2 linked regions of the Oryzias latipes genome follow. The protein of the gene in region 2 interacts with the protein of the main gene of each other region in a pairwise test. Links are inferred from orthologs where the notes say so. Each region holds a gene or a part of one and is shown on either strand. Other genes may lie near its edges.

Region 1 (16,705 bases), about 18 Mb from region 2:
GCTTGTATTATGACATGGTCTTATGTGAGCTGGGGTCATTAAGCCTACGGGACTCAGCTGTCGGCTGTTGCAGGGCAGTGACTAACCTCTGCTTCTAAAGTAAAGTTGGTTAAGTGGCTGAGGTGCTTAAGATTTGAACTATGACAGACCGGGGAGATTCAGAGAAGCCATAAAGCAGAGATGTCAAAGACTAATTGAAGCAAGCGAACACATGGTGGGAATGTGGGCGTTGATCTGGGAACTGTGTCCAGAGTTAAAACCACTGTGGTTGCAGTAATAACAGGGTGTCTTTGGCTCGCTGTGGCAGGGGTTGAGTCAGGGGCTGGGTGCTAGGAACTTGGTTTGGGAAGTCCCTTCTTCTTATTCCTGTTAGACGTTCACCTTTCTTGACTTTGTCAGCTACTTTTCCATGTGTAGAAAATGCCAGAGAAAACATTTGGATAAATAAGACGTTATCACGTTGTCATGTTTCCGGAAATAGTTATGACTTTACCAAATTTAAAAAAAAGAACAGACGTTTGCACCTGTGTAAATATATGATGATATAAGGATATACAAAACATCGAGTTAAACAGAATCCCTTATAGAAGACATTGGTTTGCATTCATGTCAAAATCAAATTTTTGACATGTAAATTAACAAGAGGAAGAAGAGGTTGTGAAAAATTCGGTTTGGTTCCGTGCCTATTTGAGTACATTTAAAACTCTTTTAGTAAAATATACTTTAAATAAGCTTTATTTTTTTAGAAATATTCAATAAACAGATGGTTAAAAAGAATAGAAACTTAAAATTAATTTATTACAAAAAATTGACTGTACTTTATTAGTAAACCGTTTAAATCGGGTACCAACTGGTTGACTAGCAAGACACTTAGAAAATCTCATCTAATCCATTGTGGTCTTAATTTATCCCTGTTGAAAGTTGCAACTGTTATTTGTGATGCTATTGTGCTGAAAATAATGAATAAATATTTTATTAAATACATTTACTAAAACATTTGAACACATGCAGATTCCCTGTTTGGAGTTCCAGATCTGGACAAATCAAATTTTTTCTTTTTTCCTGGTGATGGATCTTAATGATCACTTGCTATGTAAGACACGCTCCCCTTCATTCTCCCCCTTCCTTCTCTTCCCTTGCAGTTGCTCTGCCAAATAGAAGAACAATGTGGTCTTTCTTACCTGTCGGAGGGTGTACATTCCATCCCTGCTAAACCAAGACTCAATCCTGCCTCAAAGCCACTTCTGCTTGAGCAGGGCCCTCACTGCCATGCTTGCTCTGACTCCAGGTGCTCCACATCACACTCTTTTGGAAGGACATTGTTCTGGCCGGTTCTAAGACAACCATTTGGCTCGCTTCTCTTTACGTTCTTTACGTTTCAGCGTTAAATCTCTTTTTTACCTGTTTTGTTTTTAGAAAACTGGAATCCAAATAATTTACAGTGTTTTGGGGGAATTTGTAAGCAGCTACCTTTTTCTCAGAGGAAAGACATTTTTTGTGGTGTGTGCCAGACTGTTGGTTTGTGGTTTGTAATGTGGGCAAAGGGGAAATTTGGAGGTTGGAGTGCAAGCTTAAGGATACAATAGTGTAAAAAAAAAAAAGAAAAAAAGATGGTGTGGGTGCTTTACAGGAAGGTTGCGTTTGTCTGCACAGAGCCATCCCATTTATGCTGGTGGCTGCAGAGAAGCCTAACAGGGAGAGACAGAGTTGAATAGGACTCAGAGCAAGAGGCCCTGAGCCTTGTACCCTCCTGTACTATGTTTGAACGGCTCTAACATTTTTACCTTGTATTTTTTCAAACCAAAAGGATCCTGCTGAACACCTGATTTTATTTTTAATTTTTACCTATCAACTGTTGAAGATGCGGAGATTCTTGCTCAGGTACGTTCTTCTCTATTAGTACTTTTGTGTTGACATTGCATACTTCTTCGGAAGACTGGTGACTGATGATGCTTTTAATAAGTTCCAGCACAAAAAACACACAGAGTTTCAGAAATGTTAAGCTAGAATTAAACCCTAATAACACATGAATAAATACATAAAAAAGCATGGTTTTGAATACATTTGATATGAAATAAATATAACTTATAACAACATACTCACCCAGTTTAAAAGGCGTACTCTTCAAAGTACATTTCAAGTATTTTGTAAAAGTATGTACTTCGTTTTGCCTGTACAAAAAATCTTTTTTAATAGTTTTAACAATTAATTTCAACACAATTTTATTGCAAATTGTGCTGATTAAACAATTCTTTTTTAAACATATGTTTAACAGAAAGTTTTAAAAATTGCCTTAAGCAATTCTAGAGCATACAAAATTTGAGGTTTTTTGAAAAAATATTTAATTGTCTACAAATATTAAAAAAAATGTATTCAGGGTCAGTGAAGCAGGTGTATGCGTGTTCTGATGCACAACTGCAGCCTTGCATGGCACTTTAATTTAGTTTTGAAACAAACATCTTTTATATTGCCAAGGTTATAAATAGGCAGCAGACGGCATGCATAATAGTCAGTATACTAGTGTGAGTGCACACTCACACATAATTACATTATTTGCCGATAAATGGGTTTTGAGACTCAAAAATAAAATAAAATTTCAACAAGAAGTGCACAATTTAACGTTTTGTGTCTGACTTTTTCCAAAGAACCTAAAACTTACGGACAACTAATGAACCAAAATTTCCCAAAGCGGTCATAAGTCCCCACTCTGTTCTTTCAGAGGACTCTGTTTTCCCCCAGATTGTCTTATCAGGGCTTGGCATAACTGCAGCCTGGAACAGCTGATGGGAGGAGTCATCTTAACTGAACTGATCCTTTTATGAGTTCCAAAAGAACTCCCAAACACCCAAAAAGTCACTAATGTAGCACCGGAAAATCAAGAGCTATGAAAGAGATTTGTATATGTGGAGAAAAGCTGTGAGTTACAGACTGACAGACATTGAAATTGTTTGTTAGATTTGTGTACTTTATGCAGAATAGTGAGTTATAGTTACAAGTTGTTCTGTTTCTCCAGGTTGATTGTTTGCTGCAGACTTCTCTGAATGTGTTCAACGGTCAATTATATTCTCCCTCTGAGGAGAAACTGTGACGTGAGTCTGCTTTGAAAACGGAAAAAAAAGATGCTCAACAGAATCCAGTCAAAAAATATAATAACAGTTGTTTTCTATTTTTACATTCACACAGGTAGTGGCTACTTCTGGCAGGCTATGTGGGGGGTTGTCCATTTCAGCTAATTTCCCTGGAGATAGGCCCAATGGACAGCCGCAGGACGCCGAAATGGATGTTGCTTGGCAGGAGTTGATGGCAATAACAGAGCTGCAGGTAACAATGATAGATAGACTGGGAGACCTCTGTTTTGATAAAATGTAAAACTATTTAATTTTTCATCATAAAACATTAGACTGCATAAGATTTTAAAAGGATTTCTATGTTGTTCAGATCACATGCAACAACAAAAAGTCACAAGTTAAATCCTATTGAAAAGATGCATAATTCTGTTCACATATTTAGAGCTGTAAAGGCAAGGCTGTACTTTTTGTTTCAATCCTTTTTTGTGTGTTTACGATAAAATTGATGACATAAAAAACTTCTGAAGGGATAATAAAACAAGACAGAGAACTTTGAACAGTGAATTGCTTATGGAATCTTTTTAGTGATTAAGTTGTATTCCACTTCAGAGATGGTTACAAACTGCTGATTTAGCACAAAACTAGATGTTCCCTTGTTAATATGAGGCAAAACATGTGTCAATGAGCACAAACCGCAGAGCTGAGGCAAAAAATGAAAAGACGCGTTGGTTGAAAGAGAAATTGACACTCAAATATTTATGGTAGCAAATAAAAACTGCCTTGTTTTTACGTTGTTGTACTCTGTCTATTTTAATGGCTTCTTCTAAGCTACACTAGAGTAAAGCAAGTCACAATAGTGTATTTGAGTGATGGCAGGATGAAGAAAATGTGAGAAGGGACATACTGGAAGTTGCTTCTGGCCCCCTGCGCTGCACAATAGCCATCTGTTAAAAAGTGAAACCAGATCACGTCTTTGGAAAACCTCTGTAAGCTGTGGGTGGCAGACTAAAAGAAGGGCAAATTCTGCTTAGTGATAAACCAAATGACGTGTGGGGAGAGAATATAATATCTTCTGCTTTTAACATATATCAATAAAATCAATAGCTATTTTAATTGTCCGCACTGTGGTTTTTCTCCATTATTCTTACCTGGATGTGTTTGTTGCAGGAGTTCGAAGTACCAACTGATGCCTCCTATGAAGCAACTCAGTACCAGACTACTGACCCCACAGGAGAATATGGCATGGCTCAGTCTCACTCTGAACCCCCTCCTGCAACTTGTGAGCTGAGCACTGCCAGGACGTATGCTGGATGTTACTCTGAAGAAGTGTCTCACTGCCATCCTCTGGGCGGCAGGGCAACATATGAAAACTCTCAGACTAGTCAGCGAATGATCTCCATGCCCGCTCAAACTCTGCCGTCTCCTGGAAACATGTTGGGGACAAGTCATGGACACAGGAGAACTAATGCCCGTCTTTCTCCGGGTTCAAGTCGACACATGCTTTGGACAGCACATGGCCAAAACATGCATGGCCGCATGGCTGATGGTCTGGAGTCAGAGGCTGGTCTTTCTTTGGGATCAAGTCCACCTTTGACATCTCCACTAAATCCAGTGGGTGCTGCACAAGGTTACCATAATGTAGAAATAAATGTGCCTTACAGTGATGTTAACTCAGGCAACATTAATGATCATACCAGGAGAGCACATATCAGTTATTCAATGGACTACCAAGGTCCAAATCACTCATATTTTGACTCAGGTGTAAATCCGTATTTTTCTTCTCAAAATTCCTCTCACTCCCAGCCATGTGCCACAACTCATTCAGCGAGACAGCAGCACAACACAGTTGCTTCATGTGAACGGTATAATGAATTAACCAGCAGGGGGAGCTCTCAGCATAAGTACTCAAAGCCACACACGGGCCTTTCCAGTTCTGCTCCACTTAGCAGGGATGAGCGGAGGGCCATGGCTTTGAAAATTCCCTTCCCTTTGGATAAAATTATCAATCTACAAGTGGATGATTTCAACGAGCTGCTGACTCAGTATACTCTGACCGACACTCAACTTGCACTGGTCAGAGACATCAGACGGAGGGGAAAGAACAAGGTGGCAGCTCAGAACTGCAGGAAGAGGAAGCTGGAGAGCATCATTCATCTGGAAAGAGAACTGAACCAGCTGCAGGTGCAAAGAGAACACCTCACACAGGAAAGGCTAGAGTTCCAGCGCAGCCTGGGCTTTGTCAAGTGCCGTCTGAGAGACCTTTATGCAGAAGTGTTTTCTCACTTGCGAGACGAAGATGGACAACCTTACTCAATAGATGAGTATTCTCTCCAGCAAACACCCGATGGGAAAATTTATTTGGTACCTCATACGATGGAAGCAAGAGATCAGTGCTGAATATAAGGACTCGTCTGTGCTTTGGAAGTGTTTTTACTTTTCGTGCCAATCTCAGTTTGTGGTTAAACTAAGTTTACGGTGACACACAAGACCAATGTTTATAATAAAAAACACACAAAGTGTTGATAAAATATTTTATTTAAAAAAAGAATAAAAAAGTAAAAATCAAACTGCACAGCAGTTTTAAGCACTGTAAAAAAAAATTTAAAAAGAATACTTCAGCGTTAGCACGACAGTTCAGCTAACCTGTGGAAGAAAATAATCTTTGTTCAATAAATATTGCCACAAACCAACCAGCAGATTCACTTTCTTGTACCTGGGCCATTCTCACAGAAATGATGTTTTTGTAGTGCTGGATACCGCTGGAAATCACCTGAAATGCAAAACAAAATAAAAGTATAAGGCATTGCTCAAAGGTAACCTGTATTGACTGCATGCAAATTACAGTGGACCTCTTTGCACTGCAAGAGATCAATTTTTGATCAAGTGGTATTTTTTTTAGCCATGTCATTACTGGGCTACAAAACTCACTACCAGCTTAAAAGGCAAAAAGAGAAAACACCATCAGTAGTTGAAAGTCTGGTCTTACCTACAGACAGCATTTAAGCCTTTTGGTAGCTGCTGCCTGCTAGCCTCAGGCTTCTGCTCTCACTCTCCCCTGCTTCAATGATCCTGGCGATGGCTTTGCTACTTCTCTCCCTTAGCTTGCTTCCATGGCTAGCCTCATAGACTTTGCATGTAAGCTAGCCTCCTCGAGATGATCTTTGCAGAATTCGAAGTTGTCTGAGCCAAGTCACGGCCTTTTTGAAGATAACATTTGCGCACCACTGGGAAATTGCCTTTTCCAGAGCTTGACAAAAAGTGGCCCTTTTCCCCGTTTAAGTGTCAACCCTCCCTTCACCCAGACCACTAAAGAGGCTAACGAGACTTTATAAAAAACTGAAAGGTGGTTTATTTCAGATTGAGTTGATGCAGTTACAAATAAAAACCAGACTTAAAGATAAACATAAAACCCTCATTGGAATGCTTGCTTTCCAAAAAAAACACATATGATGAAAGAAAAACAGAAGACAAATTTTAAATGAAGGCCCTCCATGATTTATCTACTGTACATCTCTTCTTGTAGCAGCTGTAACCTGCCACAACTGTTTGGCTGAGCAGATTTAGGAGGTAAACCTGCAGCTGCCCTGTCACTTCGCTTGCTCTCCTCTCCTTGCTCTCCTCTCCTAAGTACTCAGTCCTGTTGAACAATATGGAACAACATTGTTAACTGTGCACTGTCTTCATAAGTCCTGACATCCAGAGTGAATTCGTTTAAAGTTAGCTACACTTAATCATTCCCTAAAATGATAAACTCTGGTTTTACGACATGTAACAGCAAGTTTATGTCTACAGAAGCTTACCCCTTAGAAACTTAAAATCGTCCAGGACGGCCATAGCCACCGCCATTGTTTGATCCACCGCCATATCCACCTGGAAGACAGAAAAACAATCAACACACAAGGTGAGGGTTAAAATACTTCTGTGTTGGTGTGTTTTCACCAAATCCAAATACCCACCGAAGTTTCTGCCTCCTCCTCCACCACCACCACCAAAGTTGTTCTTCATTGGACCAAAGTTGGAAGCCTGCGGGTCATAGTGACCCATGTTGTTGTAGTTATTGCCACTGCCACAGTTTCCTTGAAAATGGTAGATAAAAATGATTAGTGACAACCTCATCCTAAAAAAGGGGGGGGTGGAGGGACGGGGTTGTTGTTGCTCACCATAACCATTGCTATCATAACCATTTCCACCATATCCTCCACCACCTTGGTTGTAGCCCTGGTTGTACCCACGGTTGCCACTGTTATAGCCCCCAGGACCACCGGGCCCACCTCCATAACCTGCATCAAACAACCTTAAGTCTTCAGATGTTCGTAAATTAAAAATAAAAAAACAATTTATCTAGTATGCTGCACTTACCGCCATCGCCTCCGTTGCCGTTGTAAGGACCATCTCCATATCTGCCCCGTCCACCTTAAAATAAGAAGAAAACCCAAAACTTGTTATGGCTGTCTTACAGACCCAATGATTTAAAAAAAAAATACTACAACCCACATTACCTTGGTTAAAGCCTCTGTCGTAGTCATAGGGTCTTCCACTCCCACTGCTGCGGCCACCTCTCATTCCCATTCCAGCAGTCTGCATTTCCTGTTTGGTCAGGGCTTTCCTCACCTCACAGTTGTGGGAATTGATTGTGTGGTATTTCTGGACTATGAATAAAAAGGCATGTTTCAATTTTTATGAAAATCTTACAGGGCTTTCCCATTCTAGATCAGATACCACTAGTACTCACTGACAATCCTGTCAACAGAATCGTGATCGTCGAAGGTGACAAAGGCAAAGCCCCTCTTCTTTCCAGTGTTCCGATCAGTCATGATATCAATGACTTCAATTTTGCCAAACTGTTGGAAGTAATCCCTCAGGTGGGACTCTTCTGTGTCTTCTTTGATCCCTCCAACAAAGATCTTTTTCACTGTAATATGAGCGCCTGGACGATTTGAATCCTGCACACCAAAACATTTGTTATACTTTGAACAAGAAATCAGATTTACGTCTAGTCATATAATATACCTCTCTAGAAACTGCTCGTTTGGGTTCCACCACCCGTCCGTCAACCTTGTGTGGACGGGCGGACATGGCTGCATCAACTTCTTGGACAGAGGAGTAGGTCACAAAGCCAAAACCCCGGGATCTCTTGCTGTTTGGATCCCTCATCACCTAAAAATGAAATACTTTAAAGCCAATTCAATTTGGATGATAGCAATCACATCTTGTGAAAATGACTCACAACACAGTCTGTCAGGGTACCCCATTGCTCAAAGTGAGCTCTGAGGCTCTCGTCTGTTGTCTCAAAGCTCAGGCCTCCAATGAAGAGCTTGCGAAGCTGCTCTGGCTCACGTGGGACCTAAACAATAGATGAAGACGTCAACAAGAGGTTGCCGCAAGTTCAAACACTATGAGTTAAAAACACATTTTTGAAAACGAAAGTCCACTCATTGACTTTCGTCTCTATTTCCAGAACATATCCAGCGTCAAAAACAACAACAGCAGGAGGGTTGGGTGGTGCAGACATCGCCGCCATTAGCGATCAACGATTGCAGATTGTTCGACTTTTTGCAAAAATATGTTCGCCTAAGGTTGTTAATATTGCGGTTAATCGAAATAACGATAACCAGTGACTCATATTAATATCATTCGATTCATTTCGTTTACCTGTAACCAACAATAGGCCACGAGGCCCAGTTGTTACAAAATGGCGGCATAAGGAAAAGAAAGCTTCTGCAGCGAAGACGGGCTGTTTCGACCGAGACAACGTGCCCAAATCTAAACCATTGAAGCCATTTGACGAAACTGGACCAGCTAAATAATTTGAATCGTTCAGAATACAAAGACTTACATCTTTCGACATCTTGCTGTATTTTGTCGGAAACTCCTAGTGACACAACAACCACGCAGCGATCTGCGCCAGACAAGATCAGGCAGCAGTCAAACGCTAGGATAAAATGGGGAAAGGAACGCCCCCTTTTTACACAGTCATTGGTCAGTTGTTCCCGCTGTAGTATTTCCTCAGAGAAAGGTGAGTTTTGATTGGCTTACGTCCTATCAATCATTCAATTAATCCAATCCCCGAGCAGGATAATGCAGTGTGTAAAAACGGAGGAGGAATGGGAGAAAACAGGATGCTTTCGCAGACATAGTGACATTTTATCTGAATAAAAATGAAATGATAGATTGGGGCCAATAAACCGCATCAATTTGGATCACCATCATAACATTAAACTAGATTAGTTTTGAATGGTCGTACAGCTACTTTTTTTATCTAAACAAAATAAAAAGTATAAAGAAAGAATTACACAAATTTTAAAGGACACAACACACACTTTTGTTATTACATTTTTAGCTATTTAATTAATAGTTTGGAGCTTTGTTTATATGTAAGGCATTATGTTTCTTTGTCAGCGTACATTAAACGTCTAATAACAAAACATATAATTTTACACATTACTATTACAGTAAGTAAATACCATGGATTGAGACCCTTGCTGCTAACCTGCCTGGTTTCTTGGTTATCAGCTGACCGGGAGGCGGGTTCATTCATTGTGTGCTTTTAACGCGCGCTTTTTCCGCTCAGCACCTTTATGTGATTTAAGCTACATGCTAACGTAGCTCCGGTAGACTGGTAGACTGATAGCTGCTGCACAAAAGACGCAAGATAACGCTGCAAAAAACGCACTAAAACTGACGGCCCGATCATCCTAAAGTAATCGCACTGTTAATTTATCGATATTGTGTTTTTACTTTAAATAACGATTCGTGATTTGAACTGTAAAAGTGGCAAGTTAGCTTGGGGTTCGCTTACATGCTATCTTGTCTAGCTTCTAGTACCGTTAGCAGAGCTCAGTTCGTCGTGCCCCATGCTTGTTTTGTTTTCTTACCTGTTGTAATCTTAGGGCTATCTTCGTTAAAAGAACAAGTGTTATGTGAAATACTTGCAGATGTGATTTTTATTCGTATAATAATTTAGTTGCTGTTATGCTCGAGTGTGTTATGCACGACAATTTCTGTGTTAGCGTCGATCAAATGCTAACGCGTATATTATCATATCTTCTTTTCTGATTCAAAGTATATCCTTTTTTTAATTATCTATTTACGTCTGATCTGTGCGTATTAACGCATCTGGAAATACTGTGCCAAGATGATCGGTTGTTATTTAAACTTTGGCTTCTCTTCTTTTGGATCAAGGAAGTGCTAACGGCCTGTGTGTGTGACAGCGTGCTATAAATACCAAACTTTGCAATGGGCAAGAAGTCTCGCGAAGAGAAATCCTCATCGTCTGACGAAGAAGAATATGTCGTGGAAAAGGTGCTGGACAGGAGAGTCGTGAAAGGCAGAGTTGAATTCTTCCTAAAGTGGAAAGGATACTCAGAGTAAGTAAAAAACAAAAAACGCCAATCTGTTAGCAATTCTATTGTAATTGCAATAATACAATATTACTTAAACCGCATAAAGACGTGCAATGTAATGTTAAGGGTTATGTAGCTGTGTGCACCGCGGTTTTAATGTTTTTATTTTGGGTGTGTTTTCTCTTTGTTTGTTACTATTGTGATTATGCAACTGTCTTGAGTTACTTGGATGGTTTTCCTTTACAGGAAGCACAACACCTGGGAGCCGGAGAAGAACTTGGATTGCCCTGAGCTTATTGCAGAATTCATGAAAACCTACAAAAAACCAGGCAGTGGGAGTGCCACACCTAGCACTGGTTCCAGCAAAGTCAACACAGGATCATCGGGTCGCTCCAAAGAATCCGGGAGCTTAAAGAAAAAAGGTTCAGATGATGAGGAGGAGGAAGACGAAGAGGGTGGAAGTAAACCTAAAAAGAAGAAAGAGGTGAGATTTATGTATATGCAATGTTTGGATTCACTGTTTTCTAGGCTGTCAAGATAAATGAGGAAAAATGAGTTTTTGTTGTTTTTCCCCTTTATAATAAAGTTTAGTTTGTTTGTTAGGATGTTACTGTACTTTATGCAAGGTTCTTAGAATTTATCTATTTTATTTTTTCCAGATCTACATTTAAATAACGAAATGTTAATAAGCAAGGGAGAGATATTTACAACAGTACATGTCAATTCTTTATCTTTCGTTTCCCTAGTTTCTTTTAGACCAGGGATGTCAAACTTGATGGCACAGGATGGGCAAAAATCCAAAACCCACTTTAGGTCGCTGACAATAACACTGTACTTTATAAACTTTTAAAACTTCTTTTCAACATAAATATGACAAATATATTTCTTTTAACAGTAAATGTTAAAAGAAAAAAAAACATTCAGTTTTCTTTACTATTGAATGACTTTATAAAAAACTTACATTTTGCTCATCTGTGAGACATCATCTGCGTGCTGTTTTATTAGTCTTCATCACTGAGAAGAGCTTCTCACACAGAAAGGTGCTACCAAACACGCACAAGGGTGAAACTGCTTTTCTGCAGGAATGGCGTTCATAACCTGTGCAGGTCCTGCAGTGTCGTACTTTGCCTTCAGTGTGCTTTCACTCTGCAGCTCACTCTGCTCCATCTGAATCTGTACAGGGGCAGTTTCAACATAGACGGCAAATGGTTTGTGAAGCAACTCAAAAATTCATTTTTGTTATTCATAATCACCAAAGGGCCGGTCGAACTTGATGCGCTCAGTTTATCAGCAAAGTACGGATTTGATGTTTTGCCTCATAGTGCTGTCTAAAGATTAAATTCCTTGAATACAGCCACATTAGCTCCACAAATGAGACGCATAAATTTATCAACAATGTCAGTAAACATATTCTGCCTCCCATCAGTTTGAAAAGCCCATTTCCAGGATTAACTTTTCACTTTTGCACCGACAGAGGGCCAGCTTCACTATCACTTGCAGCATCATAAACTAGACTTCATTGACGTGGGAAGTGTTCGGCAAGGCAGCTGAAGCGCTGCATTGTGGGATCTGTAGTTGAATTTTACCAGCGCTTCATATCGCCATGCCGTAATTACCAATAATATAAAACGATCATGCTAACCGAATATAATTGCATGCCGGGCTGCATGCGGCCCGTGGCCTTTAAGTTTGAAACACACGTTTTAGACATATAATTATTTATTTTTAGAAGATACAATTGTTGATATGTGCCAGTACACTTCACCATTGAGAAATCCACATGTCTTGATCTCGCATCCTGTTTTTGTGGCGTCCTGAAAATTACAAAAGGTCAATAAGTCAGGCGATCAACTAGTTGATGTGCATGTCAACATGCTCAATCTGTCTGTATGTGTTCAGTGCTTTACTTCTGTCATTTTGCACCTTGTACAAATAATCAGCCTTTTCAGCACAATTCTACATACAATCCAATAAAAGTAATATTTGGGGGGCTAAAAGAAACTAAAATCAATTAGACATGGATTAAAAAATTGTTTATAATACATAAACCAATAAGACATATTGAAAATGATTACCGCAAAAACAAGCAAAGTATTAATCTGTTTATACACAGAAGGAATTTCAATAAAATATCTGACGGCATTTGTCCAGTAGAGCAGTAAAGTGTAAATATGAGGTTAAAGCACAGAATCAAAAGACAAAAACAAACAGTTTTAAACATTTCCTCAGGTTTGAACTTTTTTTCTTTGTTTCTTACAGGAGGAAATTCTAGTAGCCCGTGGCTTTGAAAGAGGACTTGAGCCAGAGAAAATCATTGGAGCCACTGATTCATGCGGAGACTTAATGTTCCTCATGAAATGGTAAGTTTTGTTGTTGGGATGATGATGATTATGATGATCTGGTGTGAAATTGCTGCTCCGCTAGGTGCAATCACCACAGACTGTTTTACTGTTGACTGCAACATGGAAGGGAATGACTCTTAAAAAAAAAAGGCTTTTGACTGTGTCGGTTAACTGGGCAAATCACCCATTAGAAACTTCAGTAACCGGGCTGTCTGTCCATAGATGAACAGGAAGCCAAACCATAAAATTAATGTTATCTCTTATTACCTAGATGGATATACGCAGTGCACCATCACTCATGCCTGGTTCTGGACTCATATTTGAGTTGCAGACTTGATACTTTTACTTTGAATAAATTTACAAATCCATAAAAATAATCATGAATTTAGAATTGTTCTCATTTGCTATGATTTATAGAAAATTCTCTGTGATCAGTTTTAATCCTAGAGCGAAAGAACAAATAAAAACACCTGTGATGAAGTCTGACTATACCTTTGTTGCACCAGATGAAAAGTTTGTCTTGCCAACTTACCCATTTTATTTGGTTTTATGATAGAACACTTGATGCTGTCTCAATACATGGTTAAATTGCAGTGTAAATGAACCTCTTAGAAATATAACAGTGAAATGCCATTTCACAGAGACTAGGATAGAGTGCAACCGCCTACAGCTTGTTTATGAAATCCCACAATGCCTTATTTGGACTTAAGTTAGTGAAGTGTGGTGCAAAAATATTTCAAGCTTTACCCTCTTTTAGGAAAGATTCAGACGAGGCGGATCTTGTTCTTGCCAAGGAGGCCAATCATAAGTGTCCACAAATCGTCATAGCCTTCTACGAGGAGCGCCTCACCTGGCACGAAGACGGTGACAAGAAGGAGAAGGATGCTGTCAGTGCTTGAGTGCAACACCTCTGGAGGAAACCTCCACTGCAGGGAAAACATTCTGTTGGACTTTTTGTTTTCCTTCTCCCAAACTTCCATCCCTCACTTTGTCCAACAGTGAAACAAAAACAGTGCATCCCTTTTGTTGTTTTCTCCACTCATGCCTCATTGAGCACAAGGGCCCAGACTCTGTAAAGGATCCATCAAATAGAAAGCTGTTTGTTAGTGGACCTGGGTGATATGCTACTGGGCAATGTTTCTACTGTTTTTGTATTGATTTTTTTTTTTTTTGTAATATCTTAACATTTTTGTCTTTATCTTTTCCCTGTTTTTTAAAGTGCTTGCATAAAAATGTTACTAGGAAGAAATCTGGAGAAACTATTACTGGTGGCCATCTGTTAAAGTTGCAAATCCAGACCCAAGTACCAGATTTGACGGTTTAGGGGGGAATTCCCGATCCCCATCATTGTGTTGTAAACAGTGCACATCTTTTCTTTGACAGGAAAATGTTGAAGCTATTCACTTATCTTTCTTTTTTTACCCCTTTAGGCAGCAGATATCACACCTGATTCATTTTTAAACGTGTTTAATAATCGTTTTCCCCACTGTTTCTATTTTTTTTTTTTTTTTTAATATTTGTAACCGGTAATTTTTAACAGGGCCACTCTCACCAAACGCTCAAACATGTGCGATCATTTGATCATGACGTCTACTCTGCCATCAATTCTCTTTGTTGTAGTTTAATATTTTTGTTTCAGATTAAGGTAAGAAAAAAATCCTAAATATTTGTCCCAATGAGTAGATGTTGATCTGATGTTCAGGATTCCATTGATCATTCATCTTCCTGAAGCATTCATCTGTTTCATGTTTTGACATCCATCACCATAACATGCTTCAAAAGGGACATGATCACCTTCATGAAATTTAAATGTAAAAACTATGATAATTGTGAAAGCTGAATTAATGACATGGCAGCTGGATTGGCCTGCAGTTGAGAAGACTGGTGCACCTGTTTAGTCATGTAGGTGCACGTCTGTGTAGTGATGTATATTGGTTTTAATTTGTGCTGTTTCGTCAAATGATTGTTTTGCGGTTTTTTTCTTTCTGTTTTTTTTGACAGTGTTGCCAGAAGAAGAAAAAATACAATAAAGACATTTTTTTCTCCATTCTGTACTTTTAATCATATCCCAATCATTGTTTGAATGATTTTTTTTTTTTTTACTTTTAATTTGCATGAATTGTGTGATCTTGCGCCCTTTCAAAATAAAATTCAGCTAGCATTCAAAGGAGAAACTTAGCTGCCACTTTGATAACTGAAATTAATACTGTGGTCAACAATAAAGACTAGATTTATTTATTTGCATTTCTTTTTCCATGCTCCCCCTGCTAAAAAGCTTCAGTAGTTTTAATGAATTACAAAAAATATTGTTTGAATAGCTCCTTATCACCTGTTCATTAGTTTGAATTTTAAGGTGACTAACCCTGATAAATACATGGTTTGTTGTTGAAGATTGAAACTGGTTTTGCAGCCTGCAGAGAAGCATTGGACCAAATGTCTGCAGATTCACAGACTGCTTGTTTTTAACTGATAAGAAATGCTGTCATCTTCCTTTTGATACTACCCATACATTTCCTTGCCAGCACATTTTTTAATGTAAATATGGGTTTTATTTACCTTTTGACAATATACATTTTTTAAAGTCAGTAGTTTATTGTGTGAGAGAAATGTTCCAAGTATACATGTATAGTAGCATCCTTTAATAAACATTTTGAGTGTTTCAAGGTCTTCATGTGTTCACTTCGTTTTACAGTATAAATTACATTTTTCATAACATTACCCTGCAAACTGACAAAAATATATATATATACTTTATAGATTTAATGCAATTTTAGAATCACACATCAAAAACCTATTTACTGCCGTTTGTCAGCAGAGGGCAGTATTAACCAATTCCAACGCAAAAGTGTTTTTTTTTTTCTTCAGGTTCCAGTAGAATCATTGTGTGCAAAATGTGTACAATTTTTCTGTGAAACTTTTTATGGGCACATTTTGTGTTCTGACATTCACATGTTGCATGCAAACACGGCGCACACCCTGTAAAACATGTACAACTTAACACTGAAAGGCAGCCTTTCTTCTAAGGCGGCAAAGGAATCAGTGAGGAAACATGTCAAATTGGACAGCTAAGGTTTTGCCATTGATTTAATGCACATTATAGAAATAGTACAAAATCCACTTTAGATTTTTAAAATTAGAAAATGGCAATCCTTAATGACTAACTTCCCCGTAAAGTGAATTCCAGTCATGTTTAAAATAATAATAAAAATGCTCTTAAAATAATATGTTTTGAGTCTTTTTTTGTCTTTGATTTTTTTCGCTTTGGTGGTGCCTTTTAGACCCTCTGCTTGACACACATACACACACACATCTGCAAAGTGCTGCTGGGTTACGTTGAAAATGATGGAATTTTCCTCACAAAAGAGCTTTTACTCTGCAAATGGAATGCAAAGGTCAGTAGTAAATATCCAGCCCCTGGGACCATTAAGCTGGGTGAAAGGAGGGGAGCAGCGAGCTGTTGTATCCAGCCTGGAGCTCTCCACTGACAAACGCAGGCCAGTGGGTTTGGATGGGAAACCACTGCGGTGCTCATTGGAGCTCAGCCAAAGCCATGTGTGGCAAGCACAGATGTAGACTCATTCCTGGTATGTTATCTGTGGGAATACAGAGCGAAGCATCACTGGGGTTAAAGCTCTGAAGAAAATGTGGTTTGTGCAGATAGAGAGGAATGTGCTGTACCTGGGAAGAATCAACTGGGAGCAGTTGGTGGCACGTTTACCTGGGAGGTGTTGGCTTTTCAGAACAGAGTCGATTCATTGCATTGCGGTTTCACTGGTTATTTTCTTAGACACTTGTGTTGGAAATAGTTGTCTCAGTGGTGATTATGTGTTGCTGTAAATGTATTTAGTTATTTGCAACAATCAAAAGTCAGAAAAGAAAATTCCCCTTTACCTGTACCTTCTTGTACAAATTAGTTCCTTGGGGTATTACGCACAGCAGAGGTGGGTCTTTA
Region 2 (16,196 bases):
TTATTGAGTATCCAAACGGAGCAAACTAAAGCAATGAACACAAAAACTTTTGGTTTGGTTCACTTTCATCATTTACACACATGAAGAACTGTTTTTTGAGGAATGAACCGCAATAACGACAAAATCCAAATGACCACTTCGGCCTTTTGAACACATTCTCGCCAGTGCACTGTAGAACCTCATCGACTACGACACTTAAACTAACATTCTAAAAGCAAGACGAGTTCATGAGGTAATACTCAGAGAAGTCAACAGCCCTGTTTAGTTTGTTTTCAACCATCAACATTACAAAATAAAACACTTCAAAACTATAAACAGCTTGTAATTTAGTTGTTCTTGTTCCAAAAATATCAGATCTTCTAAAGGGAACTAACCTGAAGCCAAATGAATCTAAGTGAAAAGGTAGCTCCCGTCCACACTGTTTTCACAGGTTTGCGTCCGTCTGTCCTTATAAGAGCACAACGGTCAACTCAATGACAGGAGACAGACAGCAGGGAAAAGCTGAAGAAAAAGAAAGTGAAACTGAGACACCCTGCATTAGATGGATTGGGTCTCCATAGGGATCTAGACAGGGCGTTCTCCAGTTTGAAGTGCTGTTTGAATCTAAATTCCTGACAGGAAGACTGCTTTGTTTGTCAAGGCATCAGAAGAACAGGCTCCTTTCAGTCTGGCTTCTGTTGCTTTCAGACTCAGGTTTTATTCAAATGTGACTTTACCATCAAATCCCCAAATCCCCCAGTTGAAACAGAAACATGGACTAAAGAACAGCCAGGAGGCTGCAGAACAGCAGTTAGAAAGAATCGTTTTGCCACTTGATCATCCAGACTCCAGAGGCCTCATGCGGACCACAGACAGCTGCTTTGGTAATCGGCTGACAAAGAGTTAGGATTCAAAGTTGAAATATTTGGCCTTCAGGACCCATGAGGACACACCCCGGGACATCAGGCGTGACATTCACACAATGATGGAGAGAGAAAAACTGACATGACCTCGATCAACAGCAAGAATTCATAGAGAAGTTGAGGTTTGATTCCGGCGAATGTTCCATCTGGCAGGTTCTCTGGGTGTCGTCACACAGTGTAAATGTCAGAATGAGTGAAGTGAGGCTCTGACTCAGCACCTCTGAGTCATGGAAAATGCTGATTCTTTTTCTTCTTGCTTATAAAAAAACATGTTTAAAATCTTGACACTTTCTCACGGTCGCATATAAAAATTCATGAAAGGAATCTGTACAGTTTCCAGCATATCAACACAGAATTCCTGCAGTCAGAAGAGGTACTTCCGACAGAGTTCGGAGCCACACCGACACTCAACCCGGACCCTCTTCTTTGGCGAGCCGGGGAGCCCAGCCAGGCTGAAACTGGAGTCCATTTTGGTGCTCTCTGTGTCCACTGGATCAACTGGAAGTATCAGAAAAGGACAGCCCCAGTCAAACACAGCATCTGCATCTCTTTAGTTTCACAGCCAATGGCTGTCATTTCTTGATGGACTTGAGAGCTTTGTTGTAAAAGTGCATACACACAAATGACTAAAAGGTGCAGAAGAAGGATGGTAAATGACGTCTACTAATATAGCGCTTTTCTACCTTCTTCAAGGCCCAAAGTGCTTTACAGTCACAGTCCCATTCCCCCATTTACACACATTCACACACTGGTGGGGGCTCCACTGCCCAACACTGGCACCAATCTTTCACCACAGGCAAGGTGGGGTTCAGTGTCTTGCCCATGGACACTTTGACTCATGAGCGTACAAAGCGGGAATCGAACCTGCAATCTTATGATCATGGGTCGACCGCCCTACCGCTGTCCCGTGGAGTCTCTCAGCCTTCTATTAAACTCTGCATGGAGCACAGCGAGGTTTTTTATGATTAAAAAGTATCGATATGTACTTCAAAACAAAAACTACACACTTTTTTACAAAGGTTTATCTTGTTCATGTTTTAGATTTTGGCCCCCTGGGCGATGGAGTTTGACACCCCTGCTGTAGAGTGAGAGAACACTGAAACACATGTTGTGTTAGACATGTCAGTCCCTGCTGATCATATCCCTGTGTGCTGCATGGACTGAATGATAGAGAACTGTAGTTTTTGGACCAAAAGGAAACAGCAGAAAATATTTTTGGGAAAAACTCCCCCCCTCAGGAGGAATACCAGTTCTCTTAAAGGTTTCGTTAAGAAAGTCTCTTGGATAAAAGGCGGAGCGTGGTCAATTTAAAAAACTGCAGATGACCATCCTCAATAAATGCAAAAAGGAAAACATACTTCTCGGCAAGTTCATGTGGTTTGTATAGTTTGACATGATAAAATCCTAGTCTGGACGAGGTTAGCTTCATCAATCTGTTCATCCATCCATCTTTTCATCCATCCATCCATCTGTTCATCCATCCATCCATCCATCCATCCATCTGGTCCTCCATCCATCCATCCATCATCCATCCATCTGTTCATCCGTCCATCCATCTGTTCATCCATCCGTCCATCTGTTCATCCATCCATCCGTCCATCCATCAATCTGGTCCTCCATCCATCCTTCCATCATCCATCCATCTGTTCATCCATCCATCCGTCCATCCATCTGTTCATCCATCCGTCCATCTGTTCATCCATCCATCCATCCATCCATCCATCCATCTGTTCAACCATCCATCATCCATCCATCAATCTGGTCCTCCATCCATCCATCATCCATCCATCTGTTCATCCGTCCATCCGTCCATCCATCTGTTCATCCATCCGTCCATCTGTTCATCCATCCATCCGTCCATCCATCAATCTGGTCCTCCATCCATCCATCCATCCGTCCATCCATCTGTTCATCCGTCCATCCGTCCATCCATCTGTTCATCCGTCCATCCATCTGTTCATCCATCCATCCGTCCATCCATCTGTTCATCCATCCGTCCATCTGTTCATCCATCAATCTGTTCATCCATCCATCCGTCCATCCATCTGTTCATCCATCCATCCTTCCATCATCCATCCATCTGTTCATCCGTCCATCCGTCCATCCATCAATCTGGTCCTCCATCCATCCATCCATCTGTTCATCCATCCATCCGTCCATCCATCAATCTGGTCCTCCACCTATCCTTCCATCATCCATCCATCCATCCATCTGTTCATCCATCCATCCATAAGGCTTGCAGGCTTTGCCGAAGCCCATTGCAGTGAACTCTGGGTAAAGTGGGTTACACTCTTTAAAGATTGATGTTTTGAGGCTGACTAAGCTTGTGTCTGAATTCCCGCCCTAACCCCTATAACTAACTACTTTACTTTTTTTTTTCTCTAAACGGCATATATGACGTCATCGACAATTATTTATGAATCCACTGTCTTCTGAAGATAAAAACTTTGATGGTTTGTTAAAAAAATACATTTAAATACATTTTTGAGGCAAAAATCTTTCCAACGCAATGCATTGTGGTCTATATTCGCCGATCTAGTGAGCATTGATGCACACTGGTTTTTTGCAGAGACTTCTGGGAAATTTCTAGGGCACTGGATCTGGGAATTATAGATTAATGTAGCACTAAAAAATGGCAAACGCACTTTATAGTGCACTATATTTAAAGGGGTTAGGGAGGGAATTCGAACATAGCATAAGGCATAATAAAGGAGCATTAACAGTGCAGAGCAGTCATCATGAACTCACTTTGCATCTTGTAGTCGAAGGTAAGCTCCTCCCCTGCCCGGATAGATCGCGTTGAGAACAGAGCGATTCTGGGGAGCCTCTCATCAATGTTGTCAATGAACACATTGAAGACCTGCAGGTTAGGGTTACACTGAAAAGACAACATTTATCAAATCAGAGCTGATCGCTGTTCCTACTGACAGTCCAACATCCAACAAGTAAAGAAGAATGTATATACTTGATAAACACTAGGTAAAACTTTTCAGTTGCTTCTAGATCCACCTTCATTTTCTGCCCCACAATCGATTACTACCGATTACTACTTTAGCTACTCTGAAGGTTGTGTCTTGATAACCTGTGGGGATCAGGTGACTGCAGACACTCACACTGTGGTTGACAAAGTGGGAGATATTTCCTTGGTGAGCAGCATCCACTGTGTACACATCTTCTACATAGTCGAGGTCAAACAGGTAGGTGGAGCCCTGGCGGTCGTATAAATGGCCCCTCTTCTCTGCTTCATCTGTTGTAATTATCTGTAGGGGGCAAATAGAACACTCGAAATCAAATCCATTCACAAATCGTTTATTCTGACTCTCACAGTTGAAGTTTCTCCATAATGAACATTCCAGAGCAAAGTTGTTTCCAGTATTTTGGTTTTAGGAAAACGAAAACTGAAGCTATGTTTTCAGATTACTGTATACATAAATCTACCCACAAATCATTGCGCAGCTGATCAGAACAGTTGTCACTTTGTGCTAACAGCAAACAGCAGAAAAGAAGCCCACAGGACCCTCCAGCCCCCCTGTCATGTTCTACATCCTGAGAGGGAGTTGCTCCCTTCACGACGCAGACTTGACGACTGCGCAGACTTGACGACTGCGCAGACTTGACTGCACAGTATACGATACTTTCTGCTATTGATAGTTTACTGTGCAGCGGTTTGCTCGTCTTTGTTTTTCAAGGATTTATGGTATTATTTTTTAATGTTTCTATCCAATGTTCGGTTTTCATAAGCTACCAGTTCAGACGAGGAATACAAAGACGTTCATGGATCTATTTGTCTGACAGTGGATGATCAGAATGGACTGGAGCTGGGAGACTTTGGCTCATCCATTGTAGCTTCTAGGTTGGAACTGAGAGCTTTTTCTAACGGCGTTTTTTCCTCTGCTCCTCATCCATCACGATTTGAATAAAGAAATAATCAGAAATGCAGTTTTGTTCTGAACTTTTTTTCTATATGTCCTCCCTCATCAGAAAAATGCTACAAGAACATGCTAACAACAGGGTTTTCATTGAAGTGGGTCTTTGCAAAAGTGTAAATAAAATGTCATTAATAAAGTCTATTTGTTGCATCCAAGCTCCTTCTCAGTTCTGTACAGGCTCACAGCAACAGAGGAAATGTGAAACAGCTGTCGTGCTAGTGTATCTTTCCTTTTTTATTCAAAGTATTTTCATTCACAGGTAAATGCGGCTAACCATGTGATGAAATTGCATATTTTTTATCTTTACAGCTGAGTCTTATTTCCTCTAGGTTGTGCTGACTTCAGGTTTTACCTCCATTTTTGTCTATGAGCAGTTTCTGAGCACATGAGATCAAGTTAGAAGTTAGTCCAGTTTTTTCAAAGCTTCCAGAAAGCTGAATCATTCATTCTGCAGAAAAAACATTTAACGGCCTTTGTCATCTTTGTCAGAGCCTAGGGGGACACAGACAAGCCCAGAGACTTTCAAAATAAAGGTACAAATTAACCGCCGGTCAACATTAAATATCCCAGATATCAAAGTTTGTTTTTCCTTTTCAGGATGGTTAAAGTAAGGAGTGAACTTCATGTAAATATAAGCTGATTACATTTAAATTCAACACTTGATTCAAAAGAATCTGGGCTGAAAGTGCTGTTTTTATATTTTAAAAGTATTTTTTATCAAAATTGCTGAATTATGCAACCGGCTGCCGTGGTGCAGTGGTGCAGTGGTGGGGCGGTCAACCCCAATCAGAAGATTGCAGGTTCGACTCCAAGTGTCCTTGATCAAGACACTGAACCCCACCTTCCCTTTGGTGGAAGGCTGGCGCCAGTGCTCGGCAGCAGAGCCGCCATCCGTGTGTGAATGTGTGTGTGACTGGGTGAACGGGACTGTGACTGTAAAGAACTTTGGGCCCTCGAGGACGGTAGAAAAGCGCAATATAAGTCTACACCATTTAGCATAAACTGCAATAAAAAACGGTTGATTGTAAAACCGATTACTATTTGAATTCAGAATTAAACTAACTGGTAAATGATCAAATCCAGATCCAATAGGACCGTGTTTCTGAAGGTTTTAAGCCTTTTTTTTTGTTTTGAAGGCAGAAACAAAAATGAGTAAAAAACATGTCTCACCTCTCCAACATACTCCATAACAAAGGTGTTCTTCTTGATGCCCTGCAGCGTGCGCACGCCCCATCCCCGGCCGTCCTCGGTCTTAAAGATGCACAGGTCAAACTGAATGCCCTTCTGGACCACTCTGTTGGGACAGTCAGGTCCGCAGCTGCACCGGGAGTTACATTCATAAATGGGCTTTCCTGGCCTGATCCGGACCTGGCCGCGATCGTTGTAGGCCATGCGGTGCAGGGAGGCTCCTGGACAACAGCCGTTCACTGGATCTTCCAGGCAGTTTTTACAGTCACAACCTACAGCCATCTCATTCAACACAATGCCAGGGCCGACTTTGTAGTTGTTAATGTAGGTGAAGTTCTTTGGAGGGCCCTCTAGGTCCACATCATTTGTGACAAAAATGCGACCGGGGTGGTTGCGAGTGTCATTCAGATGGTCCTGCCAGCGCTGGAGACTCTGACGGAGTTTGGCTTTCTGAATGAGGAACAAGGCGACCTCTTTATCTAACTTTTTGGGTATGGCACGCCTCTTTTGACTCTTGAGCACCAGGTCCAGGTCCAGGTGGAACTGCTTTATCAGCTTTGAGCATTTGAGGTTCCTCTTGGGTTCCCAGGTGTTGTCAGACTCAGGGAAGCCCTTCCACTTCACCAAGTAGAACTCCTCTTCCTCCTAAAAGACAGCAGCTTTGACTCACAGCATTTCTAAATTCTGATGCTTATTATATAAGAGTAAAATTCTATAGTTTTTCCCTGTTGAACTACATTTTAAAGCCGTTTATTTTACAATCGAGCAAATTGTCATGTTTTCCATTTCTGTTTTTAACCATTCAACAACAGAGGTGTTGCCGCCAGAGCCTAAATAACACACACACACCTTGAACTACCATAACCCTTTGACCATCGACGCAATCAGCATGAATCTGCCGATATTGACATGGAGAAAAGCGGCTTCTCCCCAGTGTGGTCCGTAACATCGCAAAGATGCTCTTCTACATCTCAGGAATAAACGGTTGAATAGTTCCGGTAGTTGAAAGAATGTTTAAAAAAGTACAAAAGGATAAGTAACCAGTAGTTTCTTGTTAAAAGTACCCTTAGGGTAAGCACTGATGAATATAATTTAAAGCCTAACCCAAAGTTTTCTGCAGAAATTACACTGAGCCTACAACAGGGTGGTAATTATTTTTCGAATATGCAGGTTAAGGGTTAGCAGTAATGTTACAATCCATGAATAGGCCCATCTTCTGGTCCCACTGAATCCCTTTCATAGCCACAGGGCTGCTGGAGCCTATCCCAGCTACAGTTAAGTGAAGGTGGGATAAACCGATTGGCTGTATATGAGAACTGGACTGAGTGAGCCAAAGAGGTCACTGTTTTTGAGTGTTCAGCTTTTGAGTGTTCCAAACAGGAAATACCTGCTGCCTTCAAAAGCCAAAATCCCATAGACTTATATAGAGAAATAAACAGCCGTTACTCAATCATTCTATTGGTCATAAAAACCATTCCTAATCTTATACCCTTTTTTTTGTCTTTTTGATAATTCCTTTTTTCCACATTTTTATGCAAGTTATGAACTGATCAATCAGATGCCACATTAAACGCATATGGCTTTTTTTTGATTGACAGATTCCCCAGAGCCGCTTTCAGTGGAAGGGGTGTGGTCTGGATTGGTGACAGTAGTTGCCATAGAAACGTTGACTCAGACCGAATCCGACCCATCACTGTTGTCTGGCTCCAACATGGCGGGTCTGTATCACGGAAAAATGGGGACTGAATTGGTTTCATTTTCCTGGAGCCAGAGGTAAGGCATCTCCTATGAGTGACGTCACAGCCGCTCGGTCCAGTTCTCGTATACAGTCGATGGGTAAACCCTAAACAGGTCGCCAGACTATAGCAGCGGGATCAGAAGACAGACCCATTTTTCTTCAGTTATTTCATGACCCAAACAAATTCTTCAACCTTAAAGTGGTAATGACATACCTTAGTCTTCTTGTAGTTGCAGAGAAACTCCACCTCATACTCGTTGACATTCGCTCTGCTCACTCCGAGCTCTTTGCAGTGCAGGGTCTCAGTGCGACACAAGGCTTCCAGCTCGCCATACGTCATCTTACAAGGCACGCTGCATCCTGACACACAGTCACATCAAACCACATGTTTTCAGTATGAAAAAATCCACTCCTAAAAGAAAGTTCTCTTCGTTAGCTGCGGTCAAACCATTTCTGACCGCAGAAATGAACAAAAACAAAAACCTTTCTTCTTCTAAAAGCAGTGTAAAAATGCTGGACAGCGTTCCTTAACATGTGATGTCAAACAGCATATTAACTATCTGACATGATGCACAGAACACGCCAGTATAAAGTCTCTACAACTGTTTACAATAAAAGAACAGATTTTGTTCAGTAATATTATCTATGAACCTTTTAAGAAAACGGGTCATCGGATTTTCTAGTTACATTACATGTTTGGGTCCTTTAGAGATTGCCTTTTAAAAATCTCATAACCCATGGATATAATTACTAAATATGGCTAAAAATGACCATATTGTTTTCTTAAACTAAAATCACTTTACCGCTGCATATATATCTCCCTTAGTATCATCAAACAGGATCTAAAAGCTTAAAACTCAGCCATTTTATTGACATTTTACTCCTATAGTGTTGTCTACCTTCCAGCACCTATTAAACATTTTTCAATAAACAGAAAACCGCAACAAAATATGAAAACATTTCCAAAACAGAGATCCCACAACTGAGTGACATTTCCTGTCTGTGGCAAGTTCTGAAAACATCAGCAGTACTGCAAAGATGATGAGCATCACTGTGGGTCTGTGACAGATGAGGACACACAAATGCAAACTTCTGTCTGCGCGATTGAAGTTGATAAGAAGCGCAGGCATTCAAAAAATGAAGAGGTACCACTTTCGCCATCAGGTCCAATAAACCAAGAGGAAGACAATAAAGAAATCCACGTGGAATCTCGTTGTTTTCCTGAACCACATGTCAGAAGATCTGTGTAAAAGTGTGTCATCAAAGACTTGAGCTGAAAGATGCATAATCTACAGCCACCATGCCTGCTTTGTGCTCAACTGTTTTGCACTGGGCCATTCTTGGTAAATCCAGAGTCATTTGTGAATCTTGCCATAGCCTTACAGTTGATCACAGAATACTGTATTCAGGAAGGACTGGACTTCTGAAGGTGCTTAGATTTTCATGCAATAACATGACATGTCCCAAGTAGGGATGCAACGATTTACTTTACCCACAAATCAGTTCAAAATGTGATTTTTAGATACCGGTTTTGTTCCAGTTTGATTTGTAGATTACAAAACAACAACAAAAATTTTTAATTGCTAACATGCAAGTAAGTATCAAGAAAAAGCCTTTCAGGTGGCTTATACTAAGCCTGGTGTAATCTAATAAAACCTTCTTAAATTTCACACGTGTTTCACATTTTTACTGTAAACAGGCAGTAGGGCTGCAAGCTGTCACTTCCTGCTCCCTTCAGTTTAATGGTGTAACACCAGGTTCAGTTTTTGATCAAGAATTGTGGCATCTCTAAGTCTGTGAAGCTTCACAGACATAAAACCTTACAGTTTCCATTCAGTCCTGCTGTTTCTAATGAGAGTAGACTCCATTATGTGGAAATATTCCCTGATAACTTCAGCCTTTAGTGACTAAGCTGTCGTCCTTCCTCCTTTTCTCTTTCACCTTGACTTTAGCAGCTATGAAGTGCTGTCAGTTGTCTGGATGGCCTACAGTAATGACACTATCTCTGCAGGAAATCAAACAGTCTGCTGAACATGTTTATGACTAATTCAGCTTCTGTATTCTGGAAACACATCTGAAACCCTTTTAGTGTAATATTAAGACTTACTTTTAAAAACAAGTCCTGAATACTGAATTACCTTTATTCCAACAGTAAATACAGTAAGCATGATCTTCTTCTTTCTCTTTCGGCTTTTCCCATCAGGGGTCGCCACAGCGAATCATCGTCCTCCACCTCACTCTATCATGGACGTCTTCTACCCTAACATTAGCCAACTTCATGTCCTCTGTTAAGACATCCAGATATCTCCTCTTTGGCCGTCCTCTTGCCCTCCTGCCAGGCAGCTCCATCTCCAACATCCTTCTACCAATATATCCACTATCCCTCCTCTGAACATGTCCAAACCATCTCAGTCTGGCTTCTCTGACTTTGTCCCTAACACAGGCAACGTGAGCCGTCCCTCTGATGTACTCGTTCCTTATCCTGTCTAACCTGGTCACTCCTAAGGAGAACCTCAACATCTTCATCTCCGCTACCTCCATCTCAGCCTCTTGTCTCTGTCTCACTGCTACCGTCTCTAACCCATAGAGCAAAGCTGGTCTCACCACTGTCTTGTACGCCTTTCCTTTGAGTCTTGCTGGCACTCTTCTGTCACACAACACTCCTGACACTTTCCTCCAACCGCTCCAACCTGCCTGCACTCGCCTGCTTACCATCATGCTTACCTAAATACAGTAAGCATGATCATGTTGTTTAATTAGGCAGACATGTATGACTCGTGATTTTCATGAAATAGTAGAGAATAATGACACAAGCTGCTCTCATTTTCATCTCATCACTTTGTCTTCCTGTTCAATGACTGATCAGATCTGCATTTAAGGATGAAGCCTCCAACTTGATACCGTCAGAACAGTCAAACCTAAACCAGAATCCCCGTGTTTGTTCAGTTTTCCAGGCAGAACGGTGGAGCTGGGATCGTCACAGAACAGCGGAAGCAAAAGGAAATCTAGCAGCAGCACAAACTATTTATCAAGCCTGGATGGATGGATGGATCATCATGCAGCCACCAGTGGCGCCCATCACGAATCTCGAACCACACAGCCCACCGCTGCACCCATCAACTGTCAATTCTGTGTGGCTGCTAAATTAACTTTAACTACATGTTAGATCGCACTTCTTATTACATGTTCTTCGTCACTGTTACCCATAAAGAGCTCGCGCACGGACAAGAGCTGGACAGAAGAACACCGTCATAACTACAAAAACACAAGTAACACATCCGGTAACCTGAGTATGGAAGAGCAGACTTTGGTGAAGTCGTTCGAATACACTACGACATCACTGAGACACGCGACAACAACAAAAACTAGAGTATTAACTTCTACTACCTGTCGAATTGTCCGCCATGTTTTTTGCAATACCGCCAAAATAGAAGCAAGTCTTCTGCGCAGGCGGGGTTTTTGGCCAGGCTGGCAGTATCGGCTGCTGATTGGACGAGCGTTTGCTGCCTTTCTCTCATTGGTTCTTCAGCCAGATGACAAGACGGGTGGTGATTGGCTCCTTCGAGACACAAATGCACTCCCTCCAATCCAATCAGCCGTCGATGGATCCCGCCGTAATATAAATGACGATCTTTGTGCCCTTTGTACATTAGGTACGCAGTCTTACTCCAGCAGAACTTTATTTGATCCTAAAGAACTCTACACTCATCGTGACACTGTGAAACAACTTCCACCCACTCATGAACAAGCAAATTAGCCAAAGACTCAACATGCACCTCAGATCACTGACAGCCAATAAACTATAAAAGCTCTTCACTGACCTAAACCTGAACTATAACTGCACTATTCCATCTTCTGCTTATCCAAAGAGGTCCTGAGGGCAGCTTGTAGAGACTCCCAGGACAGTGTGGGGGTGTACCGGGGTTACATTCTATTTCTTATCTTCTTTTTATTATGCATTTAATGGTTTCTATATATGCATGAATATTGTATTGCAGAAATATGTTTGATTCCTGTCCTCATAGCAGATAACATGTGCATGTTTTTGACTTTCTGACTCTGTTTTCTTTCTGTATTGGAATGTTTATGGAGCCACGACACCTAGAATGCAGACTAGACAAAAACACAGCAGTCTAATGACGTATTTTGTATGTTTTCATCTTCCCGTTACTGAATAATAGAAAAAGCCAGAGAGACAGAGAGAGCGGACAGCCACAGAACCTAACAGGTAGTGTTTCTGCACGTCTCCCCTTTTGAAGAAGGTTCAAAAATTCATGCAGACTCTTGTGTGTCTTTTCATTTCCCAACTGCACATTTCGTTTTTGGACTTCCTGAACCATCCGAACCTGCGAATGCCAAACGAGATGGCAACACTAGCCAAGAGGCATGGTCCTTCCAGCTGGACATCCCTGGAATACCCTCCCAGGCAGTTTTCCAGGAGGGATCTGAAAGAGATGAATGACCCTCCTGAACTCTGGATGTGGAGGAGCAGTGGCTGCTCCTGGATGGCCGAGCTACTTACCCTAAAAGAACCACAGCCACGCTGTGGAGGAAACTCCTCTCACCCGCTTGTGTCTTTGACCCCTTCATGCCTGCCTTCTTTCTAATTTCCGGAATATTAAAATGATTCTTCTGTGTGTTTTCCATTCAAGGTGATACTAAATTAAGTGGAGTCCTGGATTTAATGGTAAAGCCTATGTTGCGAACTAGTGACATAGGTTGATCTCTGCTCTATCGACTAAAGTTTAAATTATCATTATTGTTTTCCTATCTGGTTCCACTGAGCTGCTTGGGTCAGGAAGGTAAAATTTACATGACACTCATTTGGATTTCAACAGCAAATACAGTTGACCAATTTATTGACAAAACTTTTGTCTGCATGACATTTTAGTTTTGTGATGCTGTGACATAAAACAGACATGTCTTTCATTGAGTTTTGTTTCCTTCTTTTGGTTGTTTTTGAGGTTTTGAATTATTTTTTGTGCGATTATCAAGCTTTTTTTTCACGTTCTCTTCATGCTTTACCAGGTAACACCACGTTTCAGCTCTTAATTGCCACAATTGTTTGTGTTACTGATTTATTTCTCAGTGTATAAAATTCCATTACTGTAGCTGCTATATCTTTGATCCCTCTAAAGTCACTCTTCTGTTTAAACTGGTTTTGTTTTTCATTTGTAATTTGGTTTAAAGTCAGCTTAAAGTCCGATCATCTTTTGATCTATTGTCAAAGTGTTCCCAGTTGTCTTTTAATTATGATTATGATGTTTTAACCCAAATCAAAAAATCAGAGTTTTTTTCTAGGACATAGTTGGTGCAGAGTAGCAGGAGTTTATTAGAAATTCACCTCTGATTTGTGGGCGATACTTCCCCTCTCCATTGCTGAAAGCTCTCTGGTTATCTGCTCTCAGTCTGTACTGTCCTGTTCTGATCCAGATACCAGCTCAGACGAGGAAAACAAAGGATCTATTTGTCTATTTGCGGGTGAATGATCAGAATTGAGCAGAGCAGAGAGCTGCGGCCTGCTGATTGTAGTTCACGGAACAACTACAAGCTTTTTCCAACAGCTCTTTTTCACCTGATTCACACAATTTGAATAAAGAAAAACTCAGAAACGCAGTTTTGGTCTTGTTTTTCTTTATGCATGTCCCCCATCATGAGAAAAATGCCAGAAAAACATGTTAAAACACAATTTTCATTGGGGGTGGGTGTCTACCTGGGACAGAAATGCTTGTGTGTGGGGGGGTAGGACTGCAGCTGGGACACAAGGCGGCACTAAAGCGTCACGTGACTTTGCTGTTAGTGGAAAGAAATCCGAGGAACCGTGGAAAGGTTGTTTTCCCCGTTTAAAGTCTTGCTTTAGGTTAGAATTTCGAGCAAAGAATCCGCTTTTCTTTCTCTGTACGATTGACTCAGTCAGTTCTGTTTTTTTAAAGGTGGACTGGTTCTAAGGTTCTCCGAGGAATGTGGAACAACAATAACTAGTCTTCATCTGTGGGGGCAGCGTTGCCTGTCGATGATCCAGCAGAGAAGAAGAAGAAAGGATCGAGGGAAAAGAAAGCAGCGGCTCCTCTGTTGATTCTGCTCCTCCGGCTCAGGTTTGCACGTTTCTTCTCTCCTCTCAACTTCATTCATGAAAAACCAAACAAACTGCTGTCTGTTCACGTGAGATGCTGACGTCAGAGCGGGTTGCACGTGCGCCTGTGGTGGAACTAGCAGAAGTTGTTGATGCTCATAGGGCAGCTCAGAGGTTTTTAGGTGCTCTCTGCTGACAGACAGGACAGGTGAAGGTCTGCAGTCTGCAGCAGAGCTTCGTGATGGTTTGGTCTTTGTCTTTCAGGATGGACCTGTCCAGCAGGCTGCAGGTATGGCAGCAGCTGGCCCAGACCTGCGGCCTCAGCAGCATTGAACAAAGCCTTCAGCAGCTTTGGATGCTGCTGCTCCTCTGCCTCCTGTGCAGAGTCTGCTTCAGACTGGGTCAGCATCAGCAACTCACTTTGGATCAATAATCTACATCTGTGTCATTTTAACTGCTTTTAGGTAGCACATCTAAAAAGCTGAGGAGCATTCCTTCTTTCTTTGTTTGTAGATAAGAATTCTCCATATAATTTGATGTGTTTTAAAAAAAATTCAACAGATCAAAGTTCCTTTTAACTCATGAGTAGATAAAAAAAAGTATTAAAACCAGAAGGAGCTGCATTTCCCAGAAAAAATTCAGTGCTTAATGCTATATTGCTGAATGAAAATGAAACTTAAAGGGTAATAATTGGAAAAAATAAATAAATAAAAAGAAAGAAAGAAATGATCAAAGTTGACCATAAATAAAGTGAAAACAGCACAATAACAAAAAATATATTTTTGTGAAAAATGCGAGCGCCGGGTATCGAACCAGCGGCTTCTGCACCAAGGATTCCCCAGGTATATTAATGAAGGCAAAAATCTTGGAATAACTTGAGTTATTGGTCATAATTGGAAAAGCTGAACATTTGAATAGTTGAATGATTAAAATAGCTGAAAATTGTAGAATGAGTTAAGTGCCAAAAAATAAATGGAGCACATTTCAGTTAACTGATATGATGGGTAATTATAGTTGGTATGCTGTGAACGGCCCTGGAGCAAATGGAAAAGCTTTGAAATATATAAAGGGAAACCTTTGGGTTGCCAGGTCTGGAGGAGTATCACGGGAAAAAGCAGCATTCAAAGGAGAAGACAGTTGTCTTTCATTTAGTTTAAGATATGATGTATAATTACAAAGGTGGCTTTAAAACCTGCAAATGCCATTTTTAACAGGCTGCATCATTCCATGAAAATCCACAAAATACCGACTGCTGATTGGCTGTTTCTGATCATTGAAAGCAGAAATTACCTCCGTTAATTACATTTAGGATTTAACACAGATTGATTAATAATATTCATCTATTTTTCAAATAATTGTTTAAGAAAAAGGGTTAGACCTTGACATAACTAGTGACATTTGCATGATATATGATAGATGCATTTTCTGAAGACGAAGTAAACATTCTTTGTTTTTGCTTTTAGACAGCTCTGAAATTGTAAATTTTGATATAGTCAGCCCAGCCGGCTGTTTCCTTTTTTTTACCGTGATATTAAAAAGATTTTGGCTGTTAAATTGTTAAAAAGTAAAAATCTGAAACATCAACTTCAGACTTTGTGTTTTAAGATTCTTGAAATTTCAGTGAAAAGCCTCTTTGGATAAGAACTGTTGGTCTTAACCCTTGTGCTATCCTATGGGGTCAAGACAATGACCATTGACGTGTTCTCCCTACCATGACAAAGGTGGATAAAGGTGGAAAGATTTCATGTAATCCATGGACACCAGTGAAGATCACAAATCATTGAAGAAAAAAGGTTCAGAGCTCTGTCTAGTGGGTCTAGATGACCCAACTCCCAATGTTAAAGTGCCTAGGATAGCACAAGGGGTAATAGAGATGTTTTGGTCCAGTATTGGTCGTCCATTATCTGACAAATGTTTGAGCTGAGACATTACATCTGTAGTTTTTGCAGTCTGTCAGAGTAAAGATAAAATAACAGACTCCTATTGAACAAGGTTAGAAAGAGCTGGGGCTAGTGTGAATTTGTTGTGCAGATAAGCTGTGTTGATGACAGAAATGGAGTTGGAAAGGCTGATCTGGTGCTGTTTTGTGTCTGCCGCTTGCAGGACTTGTGCTGACTGTGAAGCATGCAGTGTCTGCACTGACGGGGATGATGGGGCTGTTCCTGTTCTTCGAGCTCCAGATGCTGTGGGTGCTGTCGCTCAGCGGGCTCTGTTATGTCATCCTGCTGCTCTGCAGGCACACCAGCAGCAGAGGACTCTTTCTCTCTGCTGTCATCCTCATCTACCTTCTGTTTGGGTAAGGCGGAAACAGCATTAGGCTGCAGGGAGCTTCTGCAAGGTCTTTTTTTCAATAAAAGTGAGTCGCA

The links.
Region 1: the proteins of suv39h1 (region 2) and cbx5 interact in binary tests that used the Homo sapiens proteins (3 or more experiments, as listed by UniProt). The link is inferred for Oryzias latipes from reciprocal best matches to the Homo sapiens genes SUV39H1 and CBX5.

Annotation. Positions count from the first base shown.
Region 1 is NC_019865.2:12,830,746-12,847,450, reverse strand, and holds cbx5 (chromobox protein homolog 5), read left to right. Parts: upstream 1-9,206; 5' UTR 9,207-9,768; intron 9,769-10,250; 5' UTR 10,251-10,304; coding exon 10,305-10,435; intron 10,436-10,657; coding exon 10,658-10,895; intron 10,896-12,670; coding exon 12,671-12,771; intron 12,772-13,510; coding exon 13,511-13,652; 3' UTR 13,653-15,420; downstream 15,421-16,705. Other genes in the region: nfe2 (transcription factor NF-E2 45 kDa subunit), read left to right, coding at 3,042-3,089, 3,184-3,321, 4,236-5,465; heterogeneous nuclear ribonucleoprotein A1, read right to left, coding at 6,880-6,938, 7,025-7,144, 7,229-7,348, 7,428-7,481, 7,568-7,717, 7,801-8,011, 8,079-8,225, 8,296-8,412 and 1 more. UniProt on the Homo sapiens protein: Component of heterochromatin that recognizes and binds histone H3 tails methylated at 'Lys-9' (H3K9me), leading to epigenetic repression. In contrast, it is excluded from chromatin when 'Tyr-41' of histone H3 is phosphorylated (H3Y41ph).
Region 2 is NC_019865.2:30,911,350-30,927,545, forward strand, and holds the start of suv39h1 (histone-lysine N-methyltransferase SUV39H1), read right to left. Parts: upstream 11,247-16,196; 5' UTR 11,164-11,246; coding exon 11,145-11,163; intron 11,102-11,144; exon of another isoform or gene 11,044-11,101; intron 8,118-11,043; coding exon 7,972-8,117; intron 6,665-7,971; coding exon 6,002-6,664; intron 4,163-6,001; coding exon 4,016-4,162; intron 3,781-4,015; coding exon 3,651-3,780; intron 1,401-3,650; coding exon 1,267-1,400; 3' UTR 1-1,266. Other genes in the region: protein-serine O-palmitoleoyltransferase porcupine, read left to right, coding at 14,096-14,231, 15,934-16,126. UniProt on the Homo sapiens protein: Histone methyltransferase that specifically trimethylates 'Lys-9' of histone H3 using monomethylated H3 'Lys-9' as substrate. Also weakly methylates histone H1 (in vitro).